6 linked regions of the Macaca fascicularis genome follow. The protein of the gene in region 1 interacts with the protein of each later gene in a pairwise test. Links are inferred from orthologs where the notes say so. Each region holds a gene or a part of one and is shown in the gene's direction. Other genes may lie near its edges.

Region 1 (4,951 bases):
ATTTATTTTTGGTTTGCTTTTGTTTTGGGTTTTCTTTCTTGAGACAGGGTCTTGCTCTGTCACCCAGCTTGGAGTGCAGCAATGCAATCATGGCTCGCTGCAGTCTCGATTTCCTGGGCTCAAGCCATCCTCCTATCTAGATGGCTGAGCAGCTGGGACTACAGGTGCGCACCACCATGCCCGCCTAATTTTGTACTTTTTGTAGAGGCGGAGTTTTGCCATGTTCCCCTGGCTGGTCTCAAACTCCTGAGCTCAAGCAATCCTTCCGACTCACCTTCCTAAAGTGCTGGGATTACAGGTGTGAGCCACCGTGCCTGGTCATATTTGTTTTTGTCTACATCATAAGGGATGTTGAAGCTTGGAAAATTTTAAGGAAAGAAAGGAAATCAGGGATTGATGACTTGGGGAAAAATAATTGATCTTTAATTTTATTTATTTATTTTTTTGAGACGGAGTCTTGCTCTGTCGCCCAGGCTGGGGTGCAGTGGCCGGATCTCAGCTCACTGCAAGCTCCGGGTTTATGCCATTCTCTTGCCTCAGCCTCCCCAGTAGCTGGGACTACAGGCGCCCGCTACCTCACCCGGCTACTTTTTTGTATTTTTTAGTAGAGAGGGGTTTCACCGTGTTAGCCAGGATGGTCTCGATCTCCTGACCTCGCGATCCGCCCATCTCGGCCTCCCAAAGTGCTGAGATTACAGGCTTGAGCCACCGTGCCCGGCCGATCTTTCATTTTTTAAAGCATATTATCTAAAGAATGTTTAGAAATTGGAAGGATTCAGAGGATCAGATCAAGAGGTAGTTGAATACCTTTCTCTAAGAAGAGCAGAAAAAGGATTTAGGCTAGTTAGGAGAAGATAATGAGAGAAATAAGATGATCTAGTTTACTGTGTTGGTATTTTTTAGTAAGAAGTATATCTTGAACCTGACCCAAAAAGACATAAGGCTTTTATATTTTGACTATGTCTAACTTTTACACCAAAGGCCACAAACTCAAATGACTATAGAGGACATACAGGTAATGTAAATGAATGGCAGTCAAGACTGGGGTATAGTGAAGAATATATGCATTATGTAAGAACAGCTGATTGTTTTCATGTGAGAATGCAGGCCTAAGATTGCTAGATATTCAGGAAAAGCCAAAAGTTCAGAGCTTTATGTGATGTCTCATATTGGAACTAATTCCACTTAAGGAAAAAAAACCCTTACCACTGGGGAACTAATAAAACATAGCAAATTAATTGCATTTGGCCAGTGAGCTTCCAGTTTTCATCTGCTCTATATGATTAATGTAGAAACACAATTTCTCCCTTTTTATTGTGCTTACCATAAAGAATGTAAGACTAATTAGCCTTTTTCCTCCCCTTAGGATGGTGCGTCCAAGGTTAACCATTTATGTTTGTCAGGAGTCACTGCAGTTGAGGGAGCAGCAACAACAGCAGCAGCAACAGCAGCAGAAGCAGGAGGATGGAGACTCAAATGGCACTTTCTTCGGTAGGTTGTTCTGGACACACCAGGACAGATAGGAAGAAAGGTGAAGAGGTAACTTATGGGCATGTATGATGGGAAGCTATCAAACAGCAGATTTAGCGTTTGCTAGAAGTAACAATAATCACTAGCATTTATTGAGCTCCTAATATATGGCAGGTGCTATTTTTTTTTTTTTTTTTTGAGACGGAGTCTCGCTCTGTCACCCAGGCTGGAGTGAGTGGTGCGATCTCGGCTCACTGCAAGCTCCGCCTCCTGGGTTCACGCCATTCTCCTGCCTCAGCCTCCCAAGTAGCTGGGACTACAGGCGCGCGCCACTTCGCCCGGCTAGTTTTTTGTATTTTTAGTAGAGACGGGGTTTCACTGGGTTAGCCAGAATGGTCTCGATCTCCTGACCTCGTGATCTGCCCGCCTCGGCCTCCCAAAGTGCTAGGATTACAGGCTTGAGCCACCACGCCCGGCCTTTTTTTTTTTTTTGAGACAGAGTCTCACTCGGTTACCCAGGCTGAAGTACTGTGGTGCAATCATGACTCATTGCAAACTTGACCACCTGGGCTCAAGTGATTCTCTCCCGTCAGCCTCCCGAGTAACTAGAACTATAGGTGTGCACCCCACGTCTACCTAATTGTTTTATTTATTGTAGAGATGGGATCTTCCTATGTTGCCCAGGCTGGTCTTGAACTCCTGGGCTCAAGTGATCTCCCTGCCTCAGCCTCCCAAATTGCTGGGACTATAGGTGTGAACCACCATGCCCATCCAGGTGCTATTCTTAACACTTTTTATATGCTTTAATATTTACAACTAATATCTCCTCTTTGTGGAGGATTTTACTGTTATCTCTAGTATTTACACGAGAAAAATGAGGCCTAGGGATGTTAAATAACGTGCCCTAGGTCACACAGCTGCAAGTGGTTGAGCCAGGGTTTGAGCTTAGGCAGTCTGATTTCTGAGTCCTTCAGAAAAGTGGACATTCCTAGTGATCAAGTTATGTGTAAGAGCAGACAAACTTTGTACTGACTCCTGTTGCTCTCTCCCTTTTGCAGTTTACCATGCCATCTATCTAGAAGAACTGACAGCTGTTGAATTGACAGAAAAAATTGCTCAGCTTTTCAGCATTTCCCCTTGCCAGATCAGCCAGATTTACAAGCAGGGGCCAACAGGAATTCATGTGCTCATCAGTGATGAGGTAGATTTTTCAGTACAGTTGAATTACCAGATGATGCTTAATTTGTCAGCACATGGAGCAAGAGCAGTTCTCCTGGGGCAGAGTGTTCTGTTTTCTAGATCAGAGGGTTTCATACTTTTTTGCTTGCTTTCCTCCTAATTTTTTTTTTAAACAGTCTCTCTCTGTTGCCCAGGCCAGAGTGCAATGGCCCAATCTCAGCTCACTGTAACCTCCACTTCCTGGGTTCAAGTGATTCTCCTCCCTCAGCCTCCGGAATAGTGGGAATTATAGGCGCGTGCCACCACGCCCGGCTAATTTATGTATTTTTGTAGAGACGGGGTTTTGCCATGTTGGCCAGGCTGGTCTCAAACTCCTGACCTCAAGTGATCTGCCCGCCTCACCCTCCCAAAGTGGTGGGATTACAGATGTGAGCCACCACGCCCCACCCTGAAATATTTTAAAAACCACATATTCCCATGCACATTTTTAGGCTGACTTAAAATTTTTTGTTAAAGTTTAAATAGTTGTAAAAGATGTCATTTCTGGGCATATATAATGACATTTCTAAGTGAAATGGTTACATCATTATTCTAATTGCATCCCATGTAATCTTAATGCAAAAATGATTTAATACCACCACCATCCATTAAAAAAAAACAAAACACGACTGTGCTTTCCTTTAAGTTAGAATTCTTGTACTATTCCTGTTTCCTGGAACTCCTTTTTTCATTTACTTCCCCCATTGAATTTTATCTTACTGTAACTTTTTTTTTTTTGACACAGAGTCTCACTTTGTCACCCAGGCTGTTGTGCCGTGGTGTGATCTCAGCTCACTGCAACCTCTGCCTCCGAGGTTCAAACGATTATCCTGCCTCAGCCTCCCAAGTAGCTGGTATTACAGGCGCCCACCACCATGCCCGGCTAATTTTTGTATTTTTAGTAGAGGCTGAAACGTTTCACCATGTGGCCAGTCTGGTCTTGAACTCCTGGCCTCAAGTGATCAACCCGCCTCAGCCTGCCAAAGTGCTGGGATTACAGATGTGAGCCACCACGCCTGGCCATCTTACCGTAACATATTTTTATGCACAAACATCTTTTATTGATTATCCTACTATATTTGTTTGAAACAAAGTTTTTAAATAAAAATTTAAAAATTATGAATGGAATCATCATAATTATACAATTGATTAAAATAATGTAAATATGCTACATGTTTTAATAAGTAATTATTAAACATTAAGAGGGCCGGCCAGGTGCAGTGACTTATGCCTGTAATCCCAGCACTTTGGGAGGCTGAGACAGGTGGATCACAAGGTCAGAAGTTCAAGACCAGCCTAGCCAAGATGGTGAAACCCCATCTCTACTAAAAATACAAAAATTAGCTGGGCATGGTGGCAGGTGCCTATAATCCCAGCTACTTGGGAGGCTGAGGCAGAGAATTGCTTGAACCCGAGAGGCAGAGGTTGCAGTCAGCCGAGATTGTGCCACCACACTCTATCCTGGGTGACAGAGCGAGACTCCATCCAAAAAAAAAAAAGGCCAGGCGCAGTGGCTCATACCTGTAATCCCAGCACTTTGGGAGGCCGAGGCAGGCGGATCACCTGAGGTCGAGAGTTTGAAACCAGACTGGCCAACATGGAGAAACCCCATCTCTACTAAAAATACAAAATTAGTTGGGTGTGGTGGCACGTGCTTGTAATCCCAGCTACCCAGGAGGCTGAGGCAGGAGGATCCCTTGAACCCAGGAGGTGGAGGTTGTGGTGAGCCGAGATGGGGCCATTGCACTCCAGCCTGGGCAACAAGAGTGAAACTCCGTCTCAGAAAAAAAAAAAAAAAAAAAAATTAAGAATAATATTATTACAGGTATATCTATGAATGAGTTGGATGAAATTGTTTCAATCCCTAGTCGTACCTTTGCACATAATTATTTCCTTTGTAGGTGAATACTGCCTATTGATTGCTAGAATGACATAGGATTTCAGCATCAATTCCATTCTGTTTTTCACCTCTAGATATTATTGCTGAGGGACTTGAGTCACATAAATTGATAGATAGGAATGGATGGAATTTTGTAATGATAATGTCATTAGATTATACTTCAGAATTATATACCAGAAATTACATAGTGATATTATCAAAAAATCATTTGGAATCCTTTATCACATGACAATTTGTGATTAGGTTACTCTTTAATTCTGGTGAAAGGAAAGAGTTAGAAACCATGTGGCTCATAAAAGGGTCTGTTGCCTAGTTTAATATTAGAGTTCACCTTTGCTATTCCACTTTGCCACCTGAAGCTTT
Region 2 (5,694 bases), on another chromosome or scaffold:
GAAAAGCAAATCAAGTCTAGGTAGGTCTTTTTCTGTCTCTCATCTCTCTTTCTCTTGGTATGTCAATTTCCTTCTCTTCTACTGCAGACTAGTTTAAATTACCAGAGGAGCCAGCAAATCCTGGACTCACAATCACACAGCCTTATGATCTATGTTACAGCAAAGTGCTGCATCGAAACCCAAGGACTTTAAGGAACCCAAGAAGCTTCATCTGAAGATAAGGAAACATGACACAACTTTTGAGCATTTTGTTTTTAGGTCATCTTGGAAAGTGGAAATAAACTGAGGAAAGCAGCTCTCACCTCATTCTGGGGAGTTTCAGGCACTACTCATGCCCTCAAGAGCCAATCCTGTTTTCATTTGGAGAATCAGAGCTTCTTACCCACAGAGGCCCAGAATGGCCATTCTCAAATCCCCTTGCATAGCCACTCTTCTTTACAAAATGAGTGGTCACCCTGCTCCCCTAGTTATCCAAGTTAGTTTTCTTTTTCTTCTTCTTTTTTTTTTTTTTGAGGCGGAGTCTCGCTCTGTCGCCCAGGCTGCAGTGCAGTGGCGTGATCTCTGCTCACTGCAAGCTCTGCCTCCCGGGTTCATTCCATTCTCCTGCCTCAGCCTCCCGAGTAGCTGGGACTACAGGCGCCCGCCACCACGCCCGGCTAATTTTTTGTATTTTTTTAGTAGAGACGGGGTTTCACTGTGTTAGCCAGGATGGTCTCGATCTCCTGACCTCGTGATCCGCCCGTCTCGGCCTCCCAAAGTGCTGGGATTACAGGGTTGAGCCACCGCGCCCGGCCTCTTTTTTTTTTTTTTTTTTTTTTTTTTTGAGACGGAGTTTCACTCTTGTTGCCCAGGCTGGAGTGCAATGGTGCGATCTCGGCTCACTGCAACCTCCGCCTCCCGAGTTCAAGTGATTCTCTTGCCTCAGCCTCCCGAGTAGCTGGGATTACAGGAATGCAACACCATGCCCGGCTAATTTCTTTGTATTTTTAATAGAGACGGGGTTTCTCCATGTTGGTCAAGCTGGTCTGGAACTCCCAACCTCAGGTGATCCACCCGTCTCGGCCTCCAAAAGTGCTGGGATTACAGGCATGAGCCGCTGCGCCTGGCCGGGAAACATTTTCATAAATACACTGATGAATGAAAAAAGCAAGCTAGAAAACACAACACGTAAGAGCCCAAGATTTTTGAAGAACAAGTTGTGCTCAAAGGTCACATCATCACTCTCCCTAACTCCTAATCACTCTTTAATCCCTTACTCTGAGATATTTTTCGTTAAGAGTACTTATCCCATGGGAATAGTTTTCATTCATGGTGTGTAGAAAGTTCCATGTGTACACGGATTTTATTTGTTCAAATGCTCTGTCCTCAGCTCCTAAAACATTTTAAGTGTTAATTATTAATTGAAAACATATGGCTGGGCGCGATGGCTCAAGCCTGTAACCCCAACACTTTAGGAGGCTGAGGCGGGCGGATTATGAGGTCAGGAGATCGAGAAAATCCTGGCCAACATGGTGAAACCTCGTCCCTAGTAAAAACACAAAAATTAGCTGGGCATAGTGGTGTGTGCCTGTGATCCCAGTTACTCGGGAGGCTGAGGCAAGAGAATCTCTTGAACCAGGGACCTGGAGGTTGCACTGAGCCAAGGTGGCGCCACTGCACTCCAGCCTGGCGACACAGCGAGACTCTGTCTCAAATGGAAAAAAAAAAAAAGGAAAAAATATGGATGACCCGGAAACACACACACACATACACTTCAGAAAGTTATATATATTTCAGAGAACGTGTTTTAAGAGAATAATAGCTCCGTGAGCTGACATTAGATGTAGGTGCAGCTAAAATATTGTAAAATATTTGTATAGTCCTTTTCTGCTTGACAAAGCAGCTTTACACAGTCCCATTTAGTACTTGTAACAACCCTGTGAAATACATACAAAACAGAAATAACGTGTATGTTTGCACTCTATGGCTTGCTAAAGTCATTCTTTCAATTGCTGGTCAACTAATTCCTTTCTATTCTCCAGACTACTTCTAAGTTTCTGAACACCACAGTTTCATTCTTTGTCTTTGTATGTGTATCCCTCGTTCGAGAATGTGGTCCTCATTTTCCACAGATAATGTTCTTGCCTGTAATCATCCTTTGAAACCCGGTTCCGCCAGAGAACCCGAGACCCACACTGGAGACACCGGCCCCTCCCGATCCACCAGCCCCTCCCCTCCCCTCCTCTTCCGACCCTCCATCCCCTCCCTTCCCCTCCCCTCCATCCCCTCCCTTCCCCTCCTTCCCCTCCCTCCCCTCCCTCCCCTCCCCTCCCTCCCCTCCCTCCCCTCCCTCCCCTCCCTCCCCTCCCGAGCCGGCACTGAGATCCTGCCGCGGAGGCTGCCCCAGAACCCCTAGAGGCCTGTCTGGCCTCGCCTACGTCTACGGCCTGCCGGTTGGAAGCCCCGCCCTTCCGAGGAGTTTCCCAAAACCCTGCGCGGCCGGCTTTGACCGCGCTAAGATGGCGACTCCCATGCATCGGCTCATAGCTCGGAGGCAAGCGTAAGTAAGGATCCGGTTCGGGCCCACCGGCGGGCTGGGAGCGGTGAAACGCGCGTCAACGGGCTAGTGTCGGACCCCTGTTGGGACCGGCGGAGAATGTCTGTTTCTCAAACACGCTTCTGGCTCCCGAGGGGCTCGGGCCCGAGCGATAAGTCTGGTGACCGTGGGTTAGCGATTTCACGGAAGACAGCCGTGTAAAGTCTGCGGCACGGGACAGAGCGGGGTTTGAAGACAACTGTCGCGTTTGGTTTCTCTGAAGGGAACGCCCACAGTTGGTCACTCAGTGATTTATGCCCCTCCGCCAACCCCACGCGTCGACAAGGGAGCCCTGAAGCCCCGGTCCGACACCTTTATGCCGGCCGACGTAAACCTTCAGTTTCCTATTTAGCGTCCATCCCTGCTGCCTTTTCCTACTTCCTTATTCTAGCGCCTTCCCTAGGAATCCTGCCTACAATGCCGACTGCCCTCCCAAGCTATCTTATCACTTTTTGGTACTCATTCTTTCAATAAATATTAATTTATCTAGTACCTACCGTTCTGTGCCAGACATTGGGTATAAAGAAAAAGAGGTGTTTTTTAGGACAAAAATCCTTGCTTTCAGAGAGCTTACATTCTAGTGATGGAAACAGTCGATAAACTACTAAATGTAAATACAGCTGGTGATAACAGCTTTGAAGGAAACAAACTGTTGTGATGGAAAGAGAGAAAGGCCCACTTTAGGTTGGTTGGACTGAAAAGGCATCTCTGAAGAGGTGGAATTTGAACAGAGATTTAAAGGGTGAAAAATTAACAGTCATAAGAGGATTTGGAGAAAGAGCATCCGGATAGTGGCATAATTGCTTTGAGGCTGAAACTTACTTTTTAAAGAACTGAAAGATGGCCATTACGCCTAATGAATAAGAGAGAGTGGCAGAAGAGATTCACACCTGACAAATAATGCAAGGGTCACCCCAGATGCCCTTTCTTATAAAGCTTTTGCACAGCCTTTGCACATCCAAACATCTGCCTCTTTTTCATAAAATATTTCATGCCATCTCCATTTTCATGTCCATATATAGCTCAAAGTCTGCTAGTATATATATGTGTATTTATATCTTTTTATATATTTTTAATTCAAATAATCCCTTTTTTTCTCTTTTCCTTTCCATCTACACTTTCAGGCCTGATAAGAAGAGTTCCTCAAATGTACAGACAGACTTAGGGAGTTAGAGTAGTAAGCTTGGTGAAGAAAGAAGGCTTGAAGTCAGACGGTTCTTTTTTTGAGACCGAGTCTCACTCTGTTGCCCAGGCTGGAATGCAGTGGTGTGATCTTGGCTCACTGCAACCTCTGCCTCCCTGGTTCAAATGATTATCCTGCCTCAGCCTCCCGAGTAGCTGGAACTACAGGTGCCCACCACTATGCCCTGCTAATTTTTGTATTTTTAGTAGAGACGGGGTTTCACTATGTTGGTCAGGCTGGTCTCGAACTCCTTATCTCAAGTGATCCCACCTTAGCCGCCCAAAGTGCCGGGATTACAGGCATGAGCCACTGTGCCTACCATTAAGTCAGACAATTCTGAGATCAAAAATGGGATGATAATACTTAAAGGGAGTGCTAAATGATGTCACCAGGTTCCGTTTCTCCCTGTCTGTCTCTCACACTTGCTCTTTGGTTGTTGGCTCCATATTTGAATAGGCTCTATTCTTTGCTCCCAAGATGGCTGCAGTATCCAGGGTCCTTTATATTCTCTCAGCTTCAAGTTGATTGTACTTCTTTGGTCTAGATTGGATTACATGCCCAATGTTAAACTATGCCTGTGGGATTGTGAATATCTGATTGATTTAGAGATCTTATTCTCCTTTCAGTACAACTGAATGGATGACCATAAGCCAATGATAACCAGGGTAGATAGGTCAGAGGAGGTAAATGAATGCAGGATTGGCAAAACTAATGTCCACTTTAAATATGAAGTGAAAATAAGACTTAGCATCTGAATAATACTGCTATTTATTGTTTCAGAAGTATCAAAAGTTAAATGTTTTATATCTACAATGTGTCTGTATTTGGTACATGAGTTACATGATTTGTAAAAGACAAATCTTACCTTTAAGGAGCTTTTGGTCCTGTTGGGAAGCAAACATGTGGCATACTGTAAAAACCGTTGTGGTATACTGCCCCACGTTGGGCGCCACGTATCCCGGCCCACGGGATAGTCAGAGCAGTCCCTGGAGGAGGGGGTGGGAATTTGGGGAACAAGAGACAGGAGAAATGGAGACAAGACAGTGCTCTGATCAAGTCTCGTTTAATGGTGGTAATGCAATGCCTTATATACATTTGGAGGGGAAGGGGTTGGGCTAAGGCGGAAATGACCTCATTGCGGAAGGTGTGGCCAGATAGGCTTCGGTTTCTCCGGTCGGACGTCATGTTGCGCCTGCGCAGTCAGGTAGTCTTTTCGCGGGTGTGGGAAAAATGAATGAAGAAGAAGCAGGAAGAGCGCCATCTTTTAATGGCGGTATTAATACAGGGAAGAAGGTAAATCTAGGGAGAAGGTGTGGGGTGGAAATGAATATAGCTCAGGCGTTTAATCTTTAATTATTATTCGCTATGGCCGGGGCGTGCAGCTCCGGACAGACTTACACAGAGTGTAAGTCTCCAAGGGATTCAGCAAAGGAGGGCCTTTAGAGGCTTGCGAAGTCCAAGAGAGTTTGGGGAATGTATTTGGGGGGAAAGCAGGAGAGGAGCCTTTACTTTTCATTTTATATTCATCAAAAAGGTTTAATTTTATTTACAAGGAGCATATATTACTTCTATAACAACAAATTTAAAATAGTTTTTAAGTTAGTAATGAGAAGTGAGAAAGTACTATCATCATTTTTTTTTTTTTTTTTTTTGAGATGGAGTTTCGCTGTTGTTGCCCAGGCTGGAGTGCAGTGGCACAATCTTGGCTCACCACAACCTCCACCTCCCAGGTTCAAGTGATTCTCCTGCCTCAGCCTCCTTTAGCTGGGATTACAGGCATGTGCCACCCGCCTGACTAATTTTGTATTTTTGGTAGAGACGGGGTTTCTCCATGTTGGTCAGGCTGGTCTCGAACTCCTAACCTCAGGTAATCTGCCTGCTTCAGCCTCCCAAAGTGCTGGGATTACAGGCGTGAGCCACCGCGCCTGGCCTTATC
Region 3 (5,397 bases), on another chromosome or scaffold:
AATCTTTGCATACAATTTCAGGAAGATCATGGATTCCAGGTAGGCACATCTGCTCTGGAATTGCATTTCACCACAGATACCTTTCGACAGATATTGGAGACAGGCTCATTTACTTGTTCACAAACCTCGCTACACCTCAGAACCAACCGTAGGGCTGGTTAAAAATACTAAATCAACCCAAATGTCCATCAGTGACAGACTGGATTAAGAAAATGTGGCACATATACACCGTGGAATACTATGCAGCCATGAAAAAGAATGAGCTCATGTCCTTTGTAAGGACATGGATGCAGCTGGGAACCATCATTCTCAGCAAGCTATGGCAAGAACAGAAAACCAAATACCGCATGTTCTCACTCACAGGTGGGAATTGAACAATGAGATCACTTGGACACAGGAAGGGGATCATCACACACCGGGTCCTATTGTTGGGGGGGGCGGGATAGCATTAGGAGATATACCTAATGTAAATGACGAGTTCATGGGTGCAGCACACCAACATGGCACATGTATACATATGTAACAAACCTGCACGTTGTGCACATGTACCTTAGAACTTAAAGTATAATAATAATAATAATAATAAAATACTAAATATAAAACCACACCCCAACCCCTAGTCCTAGTAAATCTGAATTCACCAGAATTGGGGCCCAGAGCCTACATTTCTTTTTTTTCTTTCTTTTTTCTTTTCTTTTTTTTTTTTGAGACGGAGTCTTGCTCCGTCGCCAGGCTGGAGTGCAGAGGTGCGATCTTGGTTCACTGCAACTTCAGCCTCCCAGGTTGGAGCGATTCTCTAGCCTCAGCCTCCCGAGTAGCTGGGATTACAGGCACGCACCACATGCCCAGCTGATATATATATATATATTTTGTATTTTTAGTAGAGACGGGGTTTCACCATGTTGGCCAGGATGGTCTCTATCTCTTGACCTCGTGATCCGTCCGCCTCGGCCTCCCAAAGTGCTGGGATTACAGGTGTGAGCCACCACGCCGGGCCAGAAGACGCATTTCTAACAAGCTCCCCTAAATGACTCTGATGTCTTGCACCCATACTTGAATGGGTATTGATTGAGAGCCTTGTTCTCCAGCTCTCCGCTCTGTTAAATGGACATACTGATACTTCCTTCACAATAAAAGAGGAGATGTCTGTGAAAGCCTGTTTCCGCAATGCACGTGCTAATGCTCTTCCCGCCCCTTCCCCTCTTCCCCCTCTTTCTCCTATACCAAGGTGAAGAGCTTTTATTATTCACTTGATTTTGGACCCAGTTCGTGTTTAATGCACCTGGCCTAAGATGTAGCGTTGAGCCCAGGGAGAAGGGAAGGGTTGGGGGAGGAAGAAAGAGTCGCAAATTCCCGGGTAACAGGCAGATTGGCTCCATAGGTCTAATCAAGCTGCACTTGACGCTCCGCGGGCCTGCTGCGCCCCCGCCCCCTCGGGCGAAAACTCGCCTCTGCCCAAGGCTGTGCCGGGCGTCCGCCCCCGCACTTCGCTGATTGGCCGCACTGGCCCGCTCGTCACGCTCTTTTGTCTCAGCTGGCCCAGGATAAAAGCCGCCGCGGCTGCCTTGGGAACCGCGCTGTCTCGTCTCGGCTACCCCTGGTTGGGCGGCCGTGCGAAGCAGCTCCTTCGGGCAGCCCCTGGTCGCTTAGCGGCCAAGGAGGCTTCAATTCTTTGCCCCCTGCAGGGCGGAGGAGACCAGAAGGCGGAATCTACAGCTGGCGACGCGGGAGCATCAGCTGCCCACCAGCGGAGCACAGGTAAAGAAGGGGGGTGCGATTGCCCGGCGGGGAGAGGGGTGGGGGAAGACCCACCAGTGTTGGGCGGCGCCCCGCTTGGAGAATCGGTGACTGCGAGGCAGGGGTAGGAGTACTCTCTTGGCCCGGCTGCGCTGAGGGAGGAGGTGGGGTTCACCTGGATACTGCGGACTGGGTAAGATTTGCCTGGATTTGGGGGTGGGGGGCAGAGGCGAGGGGTAGCGGTGGGGCGGGGGGGTGGGTAGGAATCTCAAGCTGTTTGCTTCGAACCTCCTTTGCATCTACTCATCTCTTTCTGGGAGGAATATGTGGGTGGGTGTGTCCAACTCCTATTCCCTTTCTCCGTGGCAGGCCATCAAAGCCGCATCTGAACTTCAATTCTGTGCAGCTGATTGCAGAGCTGGTAGGCCGACGGCTTCCTGGGGGAGATGTAATGCTGGGGGTGGGGGGCTGGTCTCTGGCTTATAGTCAGGAGGGGGCAGAGAGAATTTTTCGCCTGGCAACAGCGGAGGTTGTGGGTAGCAGGATGATGGGTGAAGCTGCTACTAACCCTTCCCTTCTCTGGCCTTCTCCGCTGTGGCGCAATCTTGAAACCTCGAGGACCCGGATCTGCGACCCCCTGTGGACAGAGGTTGACCGTACCCGGAGAGGAGCTTTCCCACGGAGGGCACTGGTTGCAGAGGCTGGAAATGAAATAAAGGCGCGCTCTTGTTTCAGAGTTCGTGTAAGAATCTGAGAAATAAAGAGGGAGACGGGGGTGGGGGGCACTTTGAGAAGGGGGTGTGGTTGAGACCAGAGACCATGAGGTTAATGAGATTTTATTTCCACAAATCTGCGATCATTGTACTCTATTTGGAGAGCCCAATATCAGCTCCAGACACTGCTACACCTAGAATTTGAAGCAACAGTTGCCCTCCCTGTTGGAGGACTGGTGGGAGGGATGGATGTGGCTGCAAAAAGCACCTTGCTAGCACGCAGCCATCGGGTAGCTCTGGGAGGTTGTAAGTGCCAGTCTCCTACAGGATTATTTTTAGGGTAGTGGGCAAATATAAAATGTACTGCAGGATATTCAGGTAGGGAGAGAATGCAGCTGCAGCCTGCTCCCTTATTAACCAGCTCCCCTTTCTTTTTTACAGCCCCTGCTGAGATAGGAACGCAGAGCCACCCCCTCTCCTCTCCCGCCTGCAGATTAAGCTTCTCTAAAAAGTCTAGGCATCTTATATTCAGATACCCTATCGTCGTCAGTCATGGCTAGCATCATTGCACGTGTCGGTAACAGCCGGCGGCAGAACGCACCCTTGCCGCCTTGGGCCCATTCCATGCTGAGGTCCCTGGGGAGAAGTCTCGGTCCTATAATGGCCAGCATGGCAGACAGAAACATGAAGTTGTTCTCGGGGAGGGTGGTGCCAGCCCAGGGGGAAGAAACCTTTGAAAACTGGCTGACCCAAGTCAATGGGGTCCTGCCAGATTGGAGTATGTCTGAGGAGGAAAAGCTCAAGCGCTTGATGAAAACCCTTAGGGGCCCTGCCCGCGAGGTCATGCGTGTGCTTCAGGCGACCAACCCTAACCTAAGTGTGGCAGATTTCTTGCGAGCCATGAAATTGGTGTTTGGGGAGTCTGAAAGCAGTGTGACTGCCCATGGTAAATTTTTTAACACCTTACAAGCTCAAGGGGAGAAAACCTCCCTTTACGTGATCCGTTTAGAGGTGCAGCTCCAGAACGCTATTCAGGCAGGCATCATAGCTGAGAAAGATGCAAACCGGACTCGCTTGCAGCAGCTCCTTTTAGGCGGTGAGCTGAGTAGGGACCTCCGACTCAGACTTAAGGATTTTCTCAGGATGTATGCAAATGAGCAGGAGCGGCTTCCCGATTTTCTGGAGTTAATCAGAATGGTAAGGGAGGAAGAGGATTGGGATGATGCTTTTATTAAACGGAAGCGGCCAAAAAGGTCTGAGTCAATGGTGGAGAGGGCAGTCAGCCCTGTGGCGTTTCAGGGCTCCCCACCGATAGTGATCGGCAGTGCTGACTGCAATGTAATAGAGATAGATGATACCCTCGACGACTCCGATGAGGATGTGATCCTGGTGGAGTCTCAGGACCCTCCACTTCCATCCTGGGGTGCCCCTCCCCTCAGAGACAGGGCCAGACTTCAGGATGAAGTGCTGGTCATTGATTCCCCCCACAATTCTAGGGCTCAGTTTCCTTCCACCAGTGGTGGTTCTGGCTATAAGAATAATGGTCCCGGGGAGATGCGTAGAGCCAGGAAGCGAAAACACGCAATCCGCTGTTCCTATTGTGGTGACGAGGGTCACTCAAAAGAAGCCTGTGACAACGAGAGTGACAAGGTCCAGGTTTTTGAGAATTTGATCATCACCCTGCAGGAGCTGACCCATACCGAGATGGAGAGGTCAAGAGGGGCCCTTGGCGAATACATTGACTTCTCTGAGCCACTCTAAGGAACCAGCTCCCAGATTTCAGTGAACCCTTACCTATATTCAGCATCCAGTAGTGGGAAAACTGGGTTGGGGTGGGGGCGGGGCTTCTAACTGCATGAATTAATCCACAAAGTGGCTATCTTTTGGGGTGGAGGAGAAAGGGTCTTGGATACCAGCACATTGGAGGGAGATAGCCTGACCTCTGTCCTTGCTCCTTCTCCCTGCAGCCTACGGGTCTGTTTTCTGTGTGTGCTCACTTCCTTGACAGCTTTATTTTTTGTGAAAGTGGTATAATTTATTGTTAAATCTTTGAACAATAAAAAAGTACAAAAAGTGAAGTACAAATTACCCAAATCTTTCCACCCTTATGTAATCATGGTCAACCCTTTGATGAGTGCCCTTCTAGATATTTCCCTATACCTATGTACCCAGATAGATATATGTATAGATAAAAGTGATGAAATATAAGTGCTGTTCTATACTCTGTATTTTTTCACCAAACAATATATGTTGTGAGCTGCTTTCTATGTCAATAAATATATATATCAGCATCTACCTTATTGTGTCTGTGCTGTTATTTTAGGAAGAAGTAAAAAAATATATAGTAAACTAAAGGGAGTTGTACTCTGAGGTGGAGTTTTTAATCAACCGCATTTTGCAGATGAAAAAAAAAATAAGAAATGGGCTGAGAATATTTCCCAAAGGTAAAAGGACAGAGTCCCCTTACCACAACTAACCTGTCCCTTCGCTCAGAGAGTCAAATTGTGACACCCACTTGTTGACAAAACACCAGTGCTTTCTTCTCTGATATACTCAGGTGTCTGACGGGGGACGGGGGAGTCTGGTGCTGGGGTAATAGCCCAATATGGGGATTCCAGGGGCTTCATTTCTGTTCACTTTGGGGATGGACAGTTCTTCATCTGGGCAGATTCCTTAGATCATTGTTGCTGTTGCTGCCTCTGGACAACGTCCTGGTCACAAGAAGGAATCTCCTGTGGGCTGACACCACCTTCTGCCCCCTCCCCAATTAAGGAAAAGAGAGCAGCCACTCACGGGAGCTCAGCATTAGCAGGCTCAGCTCCTGAGGGTGCAGAACCTCCCCCTGTAAACTCTGAAGCTATGTGCTAGAGGACACCAGCACCCCACGGACTGCAAGTTAGCTTGGGAGGCACGAAAAGCAATATATTTGCTGGGGCATGTGAAGGAA
Region 4 (4,091 bases), on another chromosome or scaffold:
TCTACTCTGCCTGTGCTTTAGAAATGGAACAACAAAGCGTGAATGTCAGCACATCTGTTTACAGCAGGGTTCAGTGAATATTTTAAGCCCATGTTGAGACCTACTGCTCAGAAAGAAAGATTCCTTTCAAAATATTAGTGCTGAATGACAGTGTACCTAGTCACCCAAGAGTTCTGATGGTGTTCAAGGAGACAAATGTTGTTTTCATGATTACTAACACATCTCTTCCTTAGCCCATAGATCAAGGAGTAATTTAGACTTTTCAGGATTTATTATTTAAGAAATAAGTTTTGTAAGGCTGTAGCTGCTATATATAGTGATTCCTCTGATGGATCAGGGAAAAGTAAATTGAAGCTTTTCTAGATAAGATTTACCATTCTAGATGCCATTAAGAACATTTGTGATTAATAGGAGGAAGTCAAAATATTAACATCACCAGAGTTTAGAAGAAGTTGATTCCTACCTTCATGGTTCGTAGATGACTTTGAGGGATTTAAGACTTCAGTGGAGGAAATAAAGATAGGGTGTGGAAATAGCAAGTGAACTAGCATTAGAAGTGGAGCTTGAAGATGTGACTGAAATGCTGCACTCTCATGCTGGAACTTGAATGGATGAGGAGTTCCTTCTTACAGATGAACAAAGAAAGTGGTTTTTTGAGATGGAATTCACTCCAGTGAGCACTTTTGTGAAAATGCTGTAAACATTGTTGAAATGACATCAAAGGATTTAGAACATGACATAAAGCATCAGAATTTGAGAGGATTAACTCCAATTTTAAAGGAAGTTCTTCTGTAAGTAAAATGCTGTCAAATATTATCACATACTTCAGAGAAATCTTTTGTGAAAGGCAGAGTCAATCAGTGCAGCAAACTTCATTGTTGTCTTACTTTCAGAAATCGCTATAGCCACCCTAACCTTCATCAACCACCACACCCTATTCAGTCAACGGCCATCAACATTGAGGCATAATCCTACACCAGCAAAAAAATTAGGACTTGCCAAAGGCTCAGATGATTGTTAGCTTTTTTTTTTTTAGCAAGAAAGTACATTTTAATTAAGGCATGTACATTGTTTTTTAGACATAATGCTATTGCACACTTAATATAGACTCTGATACGGTGTTAATGTAACTTTTATATGCAATGAGGTAGGAAATATGTGTAACTCACTGTATTATGATACTTACTTTATTGCGGTGGTCTGGAACTGAACCCACAGTATCTCCAAGGTATGGTTGCACTCTTGTATTTCTGTGATAACCTCCCACCCTTATACTCTTTTCTTATTGTCCTTCACTGGACCATGTGTATTTTATCTTACCTTATTCCTCATTTTAGTCTCCAGTGGCTGGCATGTATAAACCCTGAATGTTTTTAAAGATAATATTTTAAAAGATCACTTTAGTTATAATGTGGCTTCAGTTGATAGAAGAAAGTTTTTTTTTTTTTTTAATTTTGAATAAAAAAATGATTACTTCTCTCCACCCCCTCTGTAGTTAAAGCCTTCCATCTGAAGTATGATGAAGTTCGTCTGGATCCAAATGTTCAGAAATGGGATGTAACAGTGTTAGAACTCAGCTATCACAAACGTCATTTGGATAGACCAGTGTTCTTACGATTTTGGGAAACGTTGGACAGGTAATTCTGATTCTAAAATATGCTTATGTGTGTTTTATTGTAATTTTTCTGTCTTAGTTAAATTTTAAGTTGCATAAATTTGTCAGTCTTGTTCTCTAATTCCCTTCTTTTAACATTAACTTGATGCTTATCTGTAGTAAATAACAATTTTTTTTTGTATAATTACTTTAGATGGAGAGTTTAATATAGCCTGATAGAAGTAACACTAAACTGAGTCAGAACTTAGACTTTAGTCTTGGTTTTGTAATCTGTCTCTAATTATCTGTGTGATCTTTTTGAACCTTATTTCCTATCCAAGGAACTTTTGATTAAGAGAACCCTATGTTTTTTTGCAAGTACTGAAAGATCTCTGATTCTGGATTTATGTTATGGATGGTTCACAAAAGGAAATGAATTTTTAAAATTTATTTTAATTATTACTGTAGTGTTCATAAAACCCTTTACATTAATAAAAGTTTTGTAATTGGCAAATTTAAGAACAGCGTATGATGACAGTAAATACCACTGAATCGGTTCTCTTTGAAGTATGCTCCTTAAAAGTCTGTAACATTCTTGGTGCGAGTCTCTCACAATATATGTGAAACATATATATTATTTTAGCTAGAAGCTCTTAGATTATATTACTTAATAAGAGGAGTGTTATTTCTAGCTTTTTCCAGAAGTCCTTATATTTCCAGTTTTCTAGAAAACAGCATTTTATTCTGTTGATTTTAAGTTTTAAGAAATGTCAGCCTGTTTTTACATACATTAATCTAAAAATTCTAAAATTCCTATAGTCATTATAACCTACCATATTTTTTTTCAGGTACATGGTAAAGCATAAATCCCACTTGAGATTCTGAATTATTTGGCTCCTCCATTTCTGGAAATTGAGACTCAAGCTTTATGAATTTATCAAGAACTTAAAAATGAAGAAGGTCACAGATTGATCTTTTATAAGACCTTATTTGATGCTTTGTGCTTCAAGGAGATGATGCCTGTCATCCATATAAGCAAACTTTTTGGCTTACAACTATTTTTTTAATATTAGCCTTCTAGTCTGTAATGGAAATTGTATATTTTGATAGAAGTTTTTTCTCCATTGGTTAAATTAGCATTACTTAAAATTTGTTTTAGAAAATAAATGCAGGTTATAAATGTGTGTATATTTAGAGATTATAAAAGGCTCTCTGAGCCATCTTCTGATTTTTCATTGCTCTATAATTCTTTTTACTAAAAATACTATGTTGTGAATGGTATTAAATTTTAGTCTCTGGAACATCCAAAACCAAGCAAAGGGATGTGACTATTTTGAATGAATCAAAATGTCAAAACCTGTATGTACACTATATCTACACTTACTCTTTATTTAAAAAGAATGATGAAAAATCAAGAACAATTCTTCAATTTGAACTGTTCAGCCTTTCCAAGATTTCTTTATTTACAAATGATTACATTTAAATGAATGTACATTCTTCTCACTGACTTTGGTGATTTTGAAACCTAGAATGATGTGTTTCTATCTGTGATATCTTTCCATTTGAAAAAAAATCTCAAAACACAGATTAAAACCACAATAGGCTGTAGTATTTTTTATTTTGGGAGCCAGAGTATGATTTGGGGAAAGAATATGTATCAACCCTGTTGCAGTATAACTTTAAGCTACTTTTCTCTTTAGTCCACCTTTGATTCTAATTTTTATGGTATAGGATTTTGAATCTTCTATTTTAGGCTTGTCAGTCTTGGAGTTGTTATCTTCCACTATCCCTAAATATTGATAAACTCCCAGGCACCAAAGAAAACATTTGCTTAATTGTCTGAAAAGAAACAAGAGAAAAACACTGGTATTTTTATGTGTGTATTCAATATGGTGTAAAATATGAAAACTATATTTTAACTTAGTAAAATATTTTTTACTAACAAAATGTTGCATCCAAGGTACATCAAGTGACCATTTTCCTTGAACCTTGATTTCAATTTTTTTTTTAACTTAAAAGCAACTAGGAAGCTTTGCTTTCCTAAACTGTTTTTGCCATTGGAATTTTTGCTGATCACAGTCTTATGTCATTTTTTTTCTCTGTTTTTATTTCCAGCAGTTTTCTCCAAGGTTAACATATGTTTGGTAAACAGGCCTTTCATAGGTATTAAGCTGACATTATCTAGCTTCTTAATGAAATTTAACACTGTCACAAAAATGGGAAGTTACTATTTTTTTAAGTAGTCACATAGTTCATACCACTAGTAACTAGAAAAGATATTTATTCACATGGTATTTACAAGGCTCTTCAGAAGAGAACAGTCAGCATTTTAAATTACTAGATTTTAGCATACTTACAAGGTTTGAACAGATTCTACCCCTATTTTCCTACCTTCTTAGCATCTTCTTTCCTTAAAGATAAAAGAAAAATTTGTTCACATTAGGCTTTCTTAGCATATAAATCTGTTTCCAAAATAAATTACATGTTGTGTAAACTT
Region 5 (5,663 bases), on another chromosome or scaffold:
CACCTAGTGATTTTACCCATCAGTGACCATACCTGGATCCATTATTTCATTAAGGGGTTTTTAAATGGCGATTTTTCTAATCTTAGTTGTTCTGCATTGGTTAGTCATAATTTTTTTATGAAGACATTTGCCTTGCCATCTACTTGGTTTCTCTGAAATTCAGTTCATACAGGAAAAACAAGATAAATGCTGAATTATTTATTGATTTTCAGTATTGAGTTGATACCCTAGCAGCTTCCAAAGGTGACCAATGAATGTTTATCTGAGGGTTATCTTTATTTTTATCTTTATTTTTTTGAGACAGAGACGCTCTGTTGCCTAGACTGGAATTCAATGGCTCAATCATAGCTCACTGTAGCCACCAAAAGTGTTGGGATTACAGGCGTGAGCCACCCAGCCCAGCCACAGTCGTTCCTCTTTCTGATGCTCAAATTGCCCCATTTTGGGCCAATAGGAACCTCCTGGCCGGGTGCGGTGGCTCACGCCTGTAATCCCAACACTTTGGGAGGCCGAGGCGGGTGGATCACGAGCTCAGGAGATGGAGACCATCCTGGCGAACACGGTGAAACCCTGTCTCTACTAAAAATACAAAAAATTAGCCAGGTATGGTGGAGGGCGCCTGTAGTCCCAGCTACTCAGGAGTCTGAGGCAGGAGAATGGCATGAACCTGGGAGGCGGAGCTTGCAGTGAGCATCGAGATCGAGCCACTGCACTCCAGCCTGTGTGACAAAGCAAGACTGTCTCAAAAAAAAAAAAAAAGAACCTCCTTCAGGTTGGCGCCAGTGTCCTTTAGACAGAACTCAAGCAGTCTTTTCAGATTCAACTTGTACATTTCCTCCCCAGATTTCAACTGATCCATTTTCTAAGGAGTCCTAGTTCCTAAATGGGTGTTATTACTCTTTTATCTCGGTTTAAGTATTTTACAGTGAGAGAGGTTGGAGGTCTCTAGTACAGGGTATTGCTGGAAATGAAAGCCTCCTCTCTCTGCTCCTGTATTTTCTTCTGGGGCTTCTATCTCTTCTCAGGCCTTTTAACCTCCTCCAAACCGTGTGCAGAGGAGAACCAACCATAACTGGGACCAGCCTGAACCTGCCTTTGGAGGCCTTATTTCAGTATTTCTGAGGGCAGCCCTAGCATTGGAGGATGGAAGGAGATCTTGGGGAAAATGTATTGGTTACTCTGCAAACTTTTATCCTGTCTACCCCCAGGTGAACCAGTGTGTTATTGGTACTGCCCAGGCCAACAGGAAGTGAAGACGGATCCAGATCTTGTGTTGGGAGTGTGTGTGTGTGTCTGTATCTGTATGTGTATGTATTGGGTGAGGAGTGGGAGGGTTGCTGGAGGGTGCTTTATTGGGTAGAGGGCACCATGTCCCAGGGCTATCAAATAAAGAATAGTTTTTTTTTTTTTTTTAAATAAAGGTTTATCTGCCCAAGAAGGCAGATATTTTCATATCTGTAAAGGTGGGAGCTGTGATCTGTCCCCTCTGCCAAACGTTTGTGTGGGAGGCGGGAGCGGGGGCTGAGGGCTTGGGCTTTTCCTCTCCTTAGCTCTCACCGGTTCTGGACCATGGTCTGGATCATTTTCCCCTCTGCTAATACCCCCTCCCCCGTCCCTCACATCAGGGAGGCGTGCCCTCTAGCTATCCACACCCTCTCCTTGGTCACTAGTTATCTAGATAAGTTTCACCCTTCCGCCGGCCACCCCAGCCCCAGGGAGCAACGTTCCTTTGGTGGGTGTCGGCAAATGGGGACCGGACCCCGGAGTCCAGAGGCGGGGCTAGCGCGCGCTCCCAAACTGCTGGCTCTTTCCTCCCGCCCTTTCCCTGCCTTTCCGTTCGAACGGCTGGGGCTCTGCCCGCTCGTTGCCCATTGGCTGGCTCTCGGTGGCGTCACCGCCTCGGGTCCTTGCCCCCTTCGTCTTTGCGCCAGCCCTGGAAGCACGGGGCGGGACGTACCCGGGAAGCGGCGCGCACGCCCGCCGACTCCCTCTCGCCAACCGCCGACGGCCGCCGCCCCGTGAAGGAGGAGCTCAGTCCTCCCAGGTGCCGCGCGCAGGAGGGGACACGCGTGCGCAAAAGGGCGGCGGGTGGGGCGCGACTTGCCACGGGGAGGGCGGGGCTGGGGCTAACGGCGAGTGGAGGGCGGGGCGCGCGAGGGAGGAGGGCGTGGTGGGGGCATCGAGAAGGGTGAATGGAGGGCGGGGCCGTGAACTGGGGCCGGGGGGCGGGACTTGGAGTGACCATGGGGGGTGGGGCAGTTAACGGATGTGGCATGGGGCGGGGGACCAGTCCGGAGGCGCGCTGCCGGGAGGGGGGATTCCCTCGTGCCCCAAGGGCGAGTCTCAGGTCGGAGGAAGGGGCTGAGGGGATTCCCTCTCCCACCGGGTCCGACTGTTTGCTTCCCAAGCCGTGGAGGGCCTGCCTCTTCCTCGGCACCCTCCAGGCCTGTCGGAGGTGAGGGAGGTGGGGTGAGGTGGTGCCCGCCCCCCCCTCCGGCTCCTCCTTCCCCCCAGTCCTCCCCTCCCACCACCCTCCCCCCCAACCGGTCCGTCCCTCCCCTCCCTCCCCCCCGCCGCCTCCTCCTCCTGCCGCTGCTGCTGCTTTGGCTGCTGCGTCATACGCCCCAGAGCCGCCGGGACGGAGGGGCTGGGCCTGGGGACCCCCCGGCCTCCGCCTGCACAACCCCCCCACGCCCGGACGTGCCCTCTCCGCGCGGGGGACTCGCCTAGGTCTCCTACGTCTGCCCCTGCCCGGCTCCTGGCGGCCCCAGCTGTCACCGGTAAGGAGGCGGCAGGAGGCGCCGGTGGGGGGCAGGGAGCCGGGGGTCGGCGCGGGGCGCGGGCGGGAGAGCCTCGCCGCCTTGGCCTCGGGTCCGAGCTGGGCCGACTCAAGTCCCTTCTCGGACTTGCGGTCCTGGGGAGTGGAGACCAGGACTGGGACACGCCCCCCTCCCGGGGCACTCGGAGAAGTTGTCTAACCCGGGGGCAGGGAGCCCCGAATTTGAGGGTGACCTGACATAACCTGGCACCAGGATGATTGTTCTTAATGAGACACGCAGGCCTGGGGAGACAGCCGTTTCTGCTCTGGAAAACATCTCCAGAAAAGGTCCCAAAACACATCTCTGGGCAACAGGACACCCTAATTATGATACCTCTAAACTGAGTGGTAGCCTTTGCTTCTACAACCGTAATTTCTCCTAAAATTTCAAGGCCAGGATATAATATCCCAGGAGAGCTCTGGAAGCTGGGAAACTAGCAACTAGGTTTGGGGTTGGGGGGAGGGCAGTTACCGTGAGGAGAGCCAGTCACTAGAGTTGAAAGAGGACTCAAGAAGCTGGTGATGGGTGCCTGGTGGTTTCCTATCCAGGTGTCTCAGGGATTTGGAGATGGGGGCACAGATCCTTCATTCTTGACGGCAAAATAGGCAAAGAAAATGGGGAAGTTGGCCGGGCGCGGTGGCTCACGCCTGTAATCCCAACACTTTGGGAAGCTGAGGTGGGTGGATCATGAGGTCAGGAGTTCGAGACCAGTTTGGCCAACATGGCCAACACCCCCTCTCTACTAAAAATACAAAAAATAGCCAGGCGTGGTGGTGGGTAGACCTTTAATCCCACCTACTTGGGAGGCTGAGGCAGGAGAATTGCCTGAACCCAGGAGGTGATGGTTGCAGTGAGCCAAGATTGTCCAGCCTGGGCGACAGAGCAAAACTCCATCTCAGAAAAAAAAAATGGGGAAGCTTTCTGAGCATTCATAACCTTCTCCTCCCCATTTCTTTTCTGGCTAGGCCCCCCCAGGATGCAATGGCGCAGCCCCCCCGGCTGAGCCGCTCTGGTACCTCCTCACTTTGGGACCCAGCTTCTCCTGCTCCCACCTCTGGCCCCAGGCCTCGACTTTGGGAGGGTCAAGATGTGCTGGCCAGATGGACTGATGGGCTGCTATACTTGGGTACCATCAAAAAGGTAAGACCTACTTCTGATCTTTTTCCTATTTCCCTTATCTAATTCTGGTTCCCATTTCATTCTCTTTGCTCACCCATTCCAGGTGGACAGTGCTAGAGAGGTGTGTCTGGTCCAGTTTGAGGATGATTCGCAGTTTCTGGTTCTATGGAAAGACATTAGCCCTGGTAAGACTAGAGACCTGAGATTGCACATCCCATGGAAAACAAACCTGGCTTAGAGGGGCAGAAAGAGACTTAAGGGCAGGCCCCGTGACACTGTGTTCTCTCACAGCTGCCCTCCCTGGGGAGGAACTCCTCTGTTGTGTCTGTCGCTCTGAGACTGTGGTCCCTGGGAACCGGCTGGTCAGCTGTGAGAAGTGTCGCCATGGTGAGAGGGCAGGTCACCTGAATGGTCTAGCTTGCTCTTCCCTCCAGGATGGTCCTTATGTCACCTGTCGTGGCCTTAGTCCCCAAGCCACTGCTCTGGCCAGGCTGCTTAGCCCTATCTTAGTCCTCATCCCCTTTCAGCCCAGGGAGAAGCAGCCATGGAAAGGGGTGGTGTAACCTTTGCAAGCAGAGGATGATTTAACTGCATCCTTTTCTAACCATATGACCTTGGACAAGTCCCTTAACCTCTAGGAGCCTCAGTTCCCTGACTCGTAAAATAAGGATCATGTACCCTCTCATCAAGAACATGGTCAAGGATTAAATGAGATGGGTAAAGACTATTCCTGTCCCAATACCAAGCACACACAGGTATGCAATTAGTGGTCTACTATTAACATTATCACTCTTCAGCTTATCACCAGGACTGCCATGTTCCCAGGGCCCCAGCCCCTGGAGAGGGAGAGGGCACATCCTGGGTATGCCGCCAGTGTGTCTTTGCGATCGCCACCAAGGTAAAGGCACTTCCCTGTTACCCCTTCCTGTGAGAGCCTCCCATCCACATCCTCTCCCAAGCCTTTTCCTCTCCCCACCCCTCTGAAGTCATCCACCTGTCCTGTCTCTGCAGAGGGGAGGTGCCCTGAAGAAGGGCCCCTATGCCCGGGCCATGCTGGGTATGAAGCTCTCTCTGCCATATGGACTGAAGGGGCTGGACTGGGATGCTGGACATCTGAGCAACCGACAGCAGAGTTACTGTTACTGTGGTGGCCCTGGGGAGTGAGTAATGAGGGGGAGCAGACTGTGGAATGAATGATGTGGTGGTGCCTCCCAGGAAATGAAGGAAAAAGAACAGGATGAGGGTAGCACTCAGGGGGATGGGAGGTAAGTTTAGGGTTTGGGGCAGTTATGGGGAAGGGGGTTTCTGGAGGCCAGAAGTCCTATGTTCCCCCTCAGGTGGAACCTGAAAATGCTGCAGTGCCGGAGCTGCCTGCAGTGGTTCCATGAGGCCTGCACCCAGTGTCTGAGCAAGCCCCTCCTCTATGGGGACAGGTGAGACCAAGGCAGACTCTCCAGAAGCCAAGGTGTTCTCTTCGTGCTCCACCCTCAGTTCCCATGCCTGTCTCCACTCCAGTCTCTTCCCAATATCTGCAGCATTACCTCACCTGTTTGCCCCATCCTTGCTTGTGAGTCCTCCAGGGGATGGCATAGTTTTCCTGCGTAAGTGTGTGTTCTCCCTCTTGCCCACGTCCAGGTTCTATGAATTTGAATGCTGTGTGTGTCGTGGAGGCCCTGAGAAAGTCCGGAGACTACAGCTTCGCTGGTGAGCTGGCTTGGGCATGAC
Region 6 (4,951 bases), on another chromosome or scaffold:
TAGATCTATATTAGTAGTATTGACAAATACATTATTTTATAGTATAATATAGAAAAGAGACCAGGGCAGTGGCTCATGCCTGTAATCCCAGCACTTTGGGAGACAGAGGCGGGTGGATCACTTGAGGTCAGGAGTTCGAGACCAGCCTGGACAACATGATGAAACCCCATCTCTACTAAAAATACAAAAAAATTGGCCAGGTGTGGTGGCACATGCTTATAATCCCAGACACTCGAGAAGCTGAAGCATGAGAATTGCTTGAGCTTGGGACACAGAGGTTGCAGTGAGCCGAGAGCACATCACTGCACTGCAGCCTGGGTGACAGAGCAAGACTCTGTCAAAAAAAAAAAAAAAAAAAAGAAAGAAAAGAAAAGGGACATTTTCAAACACAGAATTTGTATTAATCTTAACAGAATATCATTTAATACACTTAAACCCTAATCTAGTAAGCAAACAGGTAACTACACTCCTAAAACTTGGAATCAAGCATTTGATAAAGTATTGATTTTACACATGTGTTTGTCCTTGTAGGTCCTGAACAATGGAGCAAGCTATATCCCATTGCCAATGGAAATAACCAGTCCCCTGTTGATATTAAAACCAGTGAAGCCAAACATGACACCTCTCTGAAACCTATTAGTGTCTCCTACAACCCAGCCACAGCCAAAGAAATTATCAATGTGGGACATTCCTTCCATGTAAATTTTGAGGACAACGATAACCGATCAGGTGAGCTGAAAGACCCTGCTGATATTTTTTTTCTTACAGTCTACTGGGGAAGTTTAAAAAATAGTACTCGAGAAACATGACACCCATTCTAAGTCTTTTGTGCTTGTGTGTAGCGTTACTGTAATCTAGTGAGGCATCTTGGACTTCTGGAAAATGCCCAGGTGGTAAAGACAATTTTTGGAATTCCCAGCTCTGTATTTTCAGTCTTTCTTCTCAAAGTCACCATCACATCTCTTCTGGTCATTCTGGTATCTGTGTGCTCACTTCACTCTCTCTGAATAAACAGTATTTATCCAGAAAGGTCTAGTGAACCAGTCATTACAAATATAACAACTGAAAAGAAAAATATTTTCTAATTGGGATGAAGATGAATGAGCACAGTAGAAAAGAAAAACAAAACAGTGACTGAATTATCCTTATACTCCAGAATCTGGAACAAATTTTGCTACAGAGTTAGCTTTTCATGAAGGTTTATTGAATATTTTATTAAATGACAATTCCATAAAACAGTTCTACTGATTTAAAATGCTAAACTTGTTTGCGAGCTTCTGAAGCCTAAATTTTAAGTACTTTGGGGCTATGTCCATTATTAATATTAGATTAGGTCTGGTATGATGTGCATTTAGCTAATATTATCATTGGATAGGCTCTCCAAACAAAGTTTTAAAAGTGTCCCACTGCCCCACTGGTACTCTCTCTTGGTCCTTGGCCAGGGATTCTCAACAAAGCTGTCAATATACACTGTTGTGTCTTCATCAGTTGCAGAGTAGGTGATGAATGGTTCATTACTCAAAATAAACTACTAAAGATTTTTGATGCATATTGTCTATGTTGAAAGAATGAAGGAATAAATTTGCAAATAAAAGGAGATTCAAGGACAGCCCTGTAATGATATAATTCACTCACCTTGCAATATGCCTTCTAGGAGTTGGAAATAGGTAAAATTATAGCTCGTGTGCTGGGAAATGTATATAACTCATGGAATATCTCATCAATGCCACAGTCAGGTGTGTACCATACATATGACTGTCATCCTCATAGATGTGGGGTAAAACAAGATGAAAGTGTAGGCACTAATGTTTGTTTTCACTTCTAGTCAACACAATTTAGTGTTGGTTTGTATTAAATGCAAAGATAAGCTAGAGTTTGCGGAGCATCAGACTAACAATCGGTTCCCTTTTCTTCCAGTGCTGAAAGGTGGTCCTTTCTCCGACAGCTATAGGCTCTTTCAGTTCCATTTTCACTGGGGCAGTTCAAATGAGTATGGTTCTGAACATACAGTGGATGGAGTGAAATATTCTAGCGAGGTAATGTAATTTAGTAAGTGAGAGATAATTACCCTGAGAGTACTCCCAGAAGCAGTTTCTCCCTTCTCTCCTAAAACAACATCATAACGACTCCAAAGGAATGAGTATTCCACTAATGAACTCCCAGGTTCCATTAAAATCAAGCACAGACACATAACGTTTGGCAAGAGAGTGAAATGTTTCATGTGGAAAGAGGCAGCTAAACTCCTAAGCCCAAGATTCACCTTTCCCTGAGAATGCCTCAAAAACTGTTACCTTAATATCATGGCTAGCTTCAAAGGGTGACACTGCTCTCCTTTAAAGCTCTAACCTCAAATGGAACACACAACCATTTCCTCTTTATTTAAATGTTCAAGTTTGGACACACCAGCAGTATGGTTGTGACCAAGCTGGGACAATTCAATGAGACTCTACTATCAGCTCGAATTTAACCATAGCAATGGTCACAGAGAACAGCATACACCTAGATGAGGGTCTGAGCTTCCCTGGCTCTTAAACTGCTCTCACATGGAATTTGTGACTTATTTCAGGACATTATTACCTGTATATCCAAAGAAAAATTGAAGACATGTACACCAAACTGTCAATAGAGGGTCCGGGAGATTAAAATGGGAGAAATTTTGCTCTTTACTTTAGATGTGTGAATTATATAATACATGTGTACCCATACACGCAGGTTGACTCTTTAATTTTGCTTTCATCAAAGTGAATTCTATAATATACATAATTTTGCAACCTGCTTTTTTCTATTTACCCATTTATCACGATAATTTTTAAAAATCAGAAGAATGGGCCAGGTGCGGTGGCTCAAGCCTGTAATCCCAGCACTTTGGGAGGCCGAGGCGGGCGGATCACGAGGTCAGGAGATCGAGACCATCCTGGCTAACACTGTGAAACCCCGTCTCTACTAAAAATACAAAAAGAAATTAGCCGGGCGTGGTGGCGGGCGCCTGTAGTCCCAGCTACTCGGGAGGCTGAGGCAGGAGAATGGCGTGAACCCGGGAGGCGGAGCTTGCAGTGAGCCGAGATCGCGCCACTGCACTCCAGTCTGGGCGACAGAGCGAGACTCCGTCTCAAAAAAAAAAAAAAAAAAAAAAAAAAAAAAAAAAAAAAAAGAATGAATTTCACCTCACTTTTTTACTTTCTGTATAGTATTTCATTTGGGTGAATACATCATAATTTATTTAACTGCCTTCTATTGATGAACAATCACAACATATGATTTTTGTTTAATTGGTTTCTTTTCCTTTTATTAAAAAATGCTTCAGTAAATATATCTGTACATATATATTGTGCACTAATGAAAGTAATTATGTAGGATAGATTTTTACAGGGCAGATTGCCAAGTTACAAAGTATATGTATCTTTTATTCTGATAGAATATCAGTGATTGTGTACAAATAAAACTTGCTTTACCTTGTGTTGTAAAGCACGACTAACACCTTTCAATGCTGCGAGAATCTGTTAATTGGATTTTCCCCTCCATAAAATTGAAGATAGATTAAAATTAAATGGACTAACAGCCTAAATTAGTATTATCTTTTTGGAAAGACAGTTGGTAGTATCCAAGAAAACTAAATTAGTGACTCTCTCACCTAAATTGAGAAAAATCAATATAACCCATGCTAGATATGAGAGACACTTAGCCACAAAGTTTAGCATGTGATTAAATTCAATTCAATAAACCTTCTTGGGATAGCTATAAGACACTAGATTTGAGAGACAGGGCAGCCTGTTGCCTAAGAATGCAAGTACCCAGCTGACTGCCAGGGTTTGAATCAAAGCTCAACCACTTACTAGCTGTACAACTTCAAACGAATCACTCTATGCTCCAATATTCCTATATAGCAAATCTAGATAATATAACATTAGTATCCATCTCAATGATTGTTAACAGCATGAAAAGAGTAAACCCATACAGAGCACACTTAGACCAGCACCTTTCATGTTGCATGTGCTGAATAATGTTACTTAACATTTCCATAGAGACACAAGCAAGCCCTTTTCAAGCAGGGAAGTGTAGGCATAAATTATTGTGATTAAATAAATATAGTAGTAAATGGCAGTATGACTATTCACAAAGAAGCACAGGAATACAGATGTAAGAATAATTAATTACAAGTAGGGACAGAATCTAGACTGGCATGGTCAGAGGAAATTGCAATAAGTGATCTCTCTGAATATACTGTCTTAATCATTCTTTTTTCATTCAACAAATATTCATTGAACACCTACAATATGCCAGATACTCTCTTTATTTATTTTTGGTTTGTATTTATTTATTTATTTTTGAGAAAGAGTCTTGCTCTCTCACCCAGGCTGGAGTCCAGAGGTGCAATCTCGGCTCACTGTAACCTCCTTCTCTCAGGTTCAAGTGATTCTCCTGTCTTGGCCTCCTGAGTAGCTGGGATTACAAGCATGTGCCACCATACCTGGCTAATTTTGTATTTTTAGTAGAAACGGAGTTTCACCACGTTGGTCAGGCTGATCTCGAACTCCTGACCTCGTGATCCACCCTCCTCGGCCTCCCAAAGTGCTGAAATTACAGGCGTGAGATACTGTTTTTAAAAAGTACTTGTGATCAGAACTTATTTGATAGGGAAAATAAAAATTTCAGAGGAAGGAAGGGAAGAAGGAAGGGAGGGAGGGAGGGAGAAGAATAGGAAGAAGAGAGATTAAATAAGCGATATGGATAGAATTGTTTTGATTTGTGGTGGTTACTTTATGTTGGATGATCAGAAAAGAATTGTTTAAGGAGTGGCATTTGAGTTCAACCCTAACTCAAGACAAAAGTCTGCCACTTGAAGATCATGGGGAAGGAAATTCCAGAGAATATTAGAAGCTAATGCAAAGACTCAAAGTTGTGATGAAGTATAATCTGTAAGATGTGAATGTTGATAGGTGGGGAAAGTAAG

What was found.
Region 2: the proteins of TFCP2 (region 1) and ZCCHC10 interact in binary tests that used the Homo sapiens proteins (3 or more experiments, as listed by UniProt). The two-hybrid records come from large-scale screens. The link is inferred for Macaca fascicularis from reciprocal best matches to the Homo sapiens genes TFCP2 and ZCCHC10.
Region 3: the proteins of TFCP2 (region 1) and ZCCHC12 interact in binary tests that used the Homo sapiens proteins (3 or more experiments, as listed by UniProt). The two-hybrid records come from large-scale screens. The link is inferred for Macaca fascicularis from reciprocal best matches to the Homo sapiens genes TFCP2 and ZCCHC12.
Region 4: the proteins of TFCP2 (region 1) and CDC73 interact in binary tests that used the Homo sapiens proteins (3 or more experiments, as listed by UniProt). The two-hybrid records come from large-scale screens. The link is inferred for Macaca fascicularis from reciprocal best matches to the Homo sapiens genes TFCP2 and CDC73.
Region 5: the proteins of TFCP2 (region 1) and PHF1 interact in binary tests that used the Homo sapiens proteins (3 or more experiments, as listed by UniProt). The two-hybrid records come from large-scale screens. The link is inferred for Macaca fascicularis from reciprocal best matches to the Homo sapiens genes TFCP2 and PHF1.
Region 6: the proteins of TFCP2 (region 1) and carbonic anhydrase 1 interact in binary tests that used the Homo sapiens proteins (3 or more experiments, as listed by UniProt). The two-hybrid records come from large-scale screens. The link is inferred for Macaca fascicularis from reciprocal best matches to the Homo sapiens genes TFCP2 and CA1.

The regions. Positions count from the first base shown.
Region 1 is NC_088385.1:57,949,174-57,954,124, reverse strand, and holds part of TFCP2 (alpha-globin transcription factor CP2), read left to right. Parts: intron 1-1,366; coding exon 1,367-1,491; intron 1,492-2,528; coding exon 2,529-2,671; intron 2,672-4,951.
Region 2 is NC_088380.1:139,542,877-139,548,570, reverse strand, and holds the start of ZCCHC10 (zinc finger CCHC domain-containing protein 10), read left to right. Parts: upstream 1-2,486; 5' UTR 2,487-2,498; coding exon 2,499-2,539; exon of another isoform or gene 2,540-2,543; intron 2,544-5,694.
Region 3 is NC_088395.1:125,151,638-125,157,034, forward strand, and holds ZCCHC12 (zinc finger CCHC domain-containing protein 12), read left to right. Parts: upstream 1-1,574; 5' UTR 1,575-1,758; intron 1,759-2,106; 5' UTR 2,107-2,158; intron 2,159-2,355; 5' UTR 2,356-2,479; intron 2,480-2,891; 5' UTR 2,892-3,002; coding exon 3,003-4,211; 3' UTR 4,212-4,745; downstream 4,746-5,397. UniProt on the Homo sapiens protein: Transcriptional coactivator in the bone morphogenetic protein (BMP)-signaling pathway. It positively modulates BMP signaling by interacting with SMAD1 and associating with CBP in the transcription complex.
Region 4 is NC_088375.1:50,859,229-50,863,319, forward strand, and holds part of CDC73 (parafibromin), read left to right. Parts: intron 1-1,495; coding exon 1,496-1,637; intron 1,638-2,442; coding exon 2,443-2,479; 3' UTR 2,480-4,091.
Region 5 is NC_088378.1:138,279,960-138,285,622, reverse strand, and holds the start of PHF1 (PHD finger protein 1), read left to right. Parts: upstream 1-1,918; 5' UTR 1,919-2,780; intron 2,781-3,784; 5' UTR 3,785-3,800; coding exon 3,801-3,959; intron 3,960-4,041; coding exon 4,042-4,123; intron 4,124-4,229; coding exon 4,230-4,325; intron 4,326-4,465; exon of another isoform or gene 4,466-4,651; coding exon of another isoform or gene 4,652-4,655; intron 4,656-4,735; coding exon 4,736-4,836; intron 4,837-4,949; coding exon 4,950-5,098; intron 5,099-5,275; coding exon 5,276-5,371; intron 5,372-5,573; coding exon 5,574-5,642; intron 5,643-5,663. Other genes in the region: kinesin-like protein KIFC1, read left to right, coding at 1,209-1,253. UniProt on the Homo sapiens protein: Polycomb group (PcG) that specifically binds histone H3 trimethylated at 'Lys-36' (H3K36me3) and recruits the PRC2 complex. Involved in DNA damage response and is recruited at double-strand breaks (DSBs).
Region 6 is NC_088382.1:95,204,992-95,209,942, reverse strand, and holds part of carbonic anhydrase 1, read left to right. Parts: intron 1-531; coding exon 532-729; intron 730-1,917; coding exon 1,918-2,036; intron 2,037-4,951. UniProt on the Homo sapiens protein: Catalyzes the reversible hydration of carbon dioxide. Can hydrate cyanamide to urea.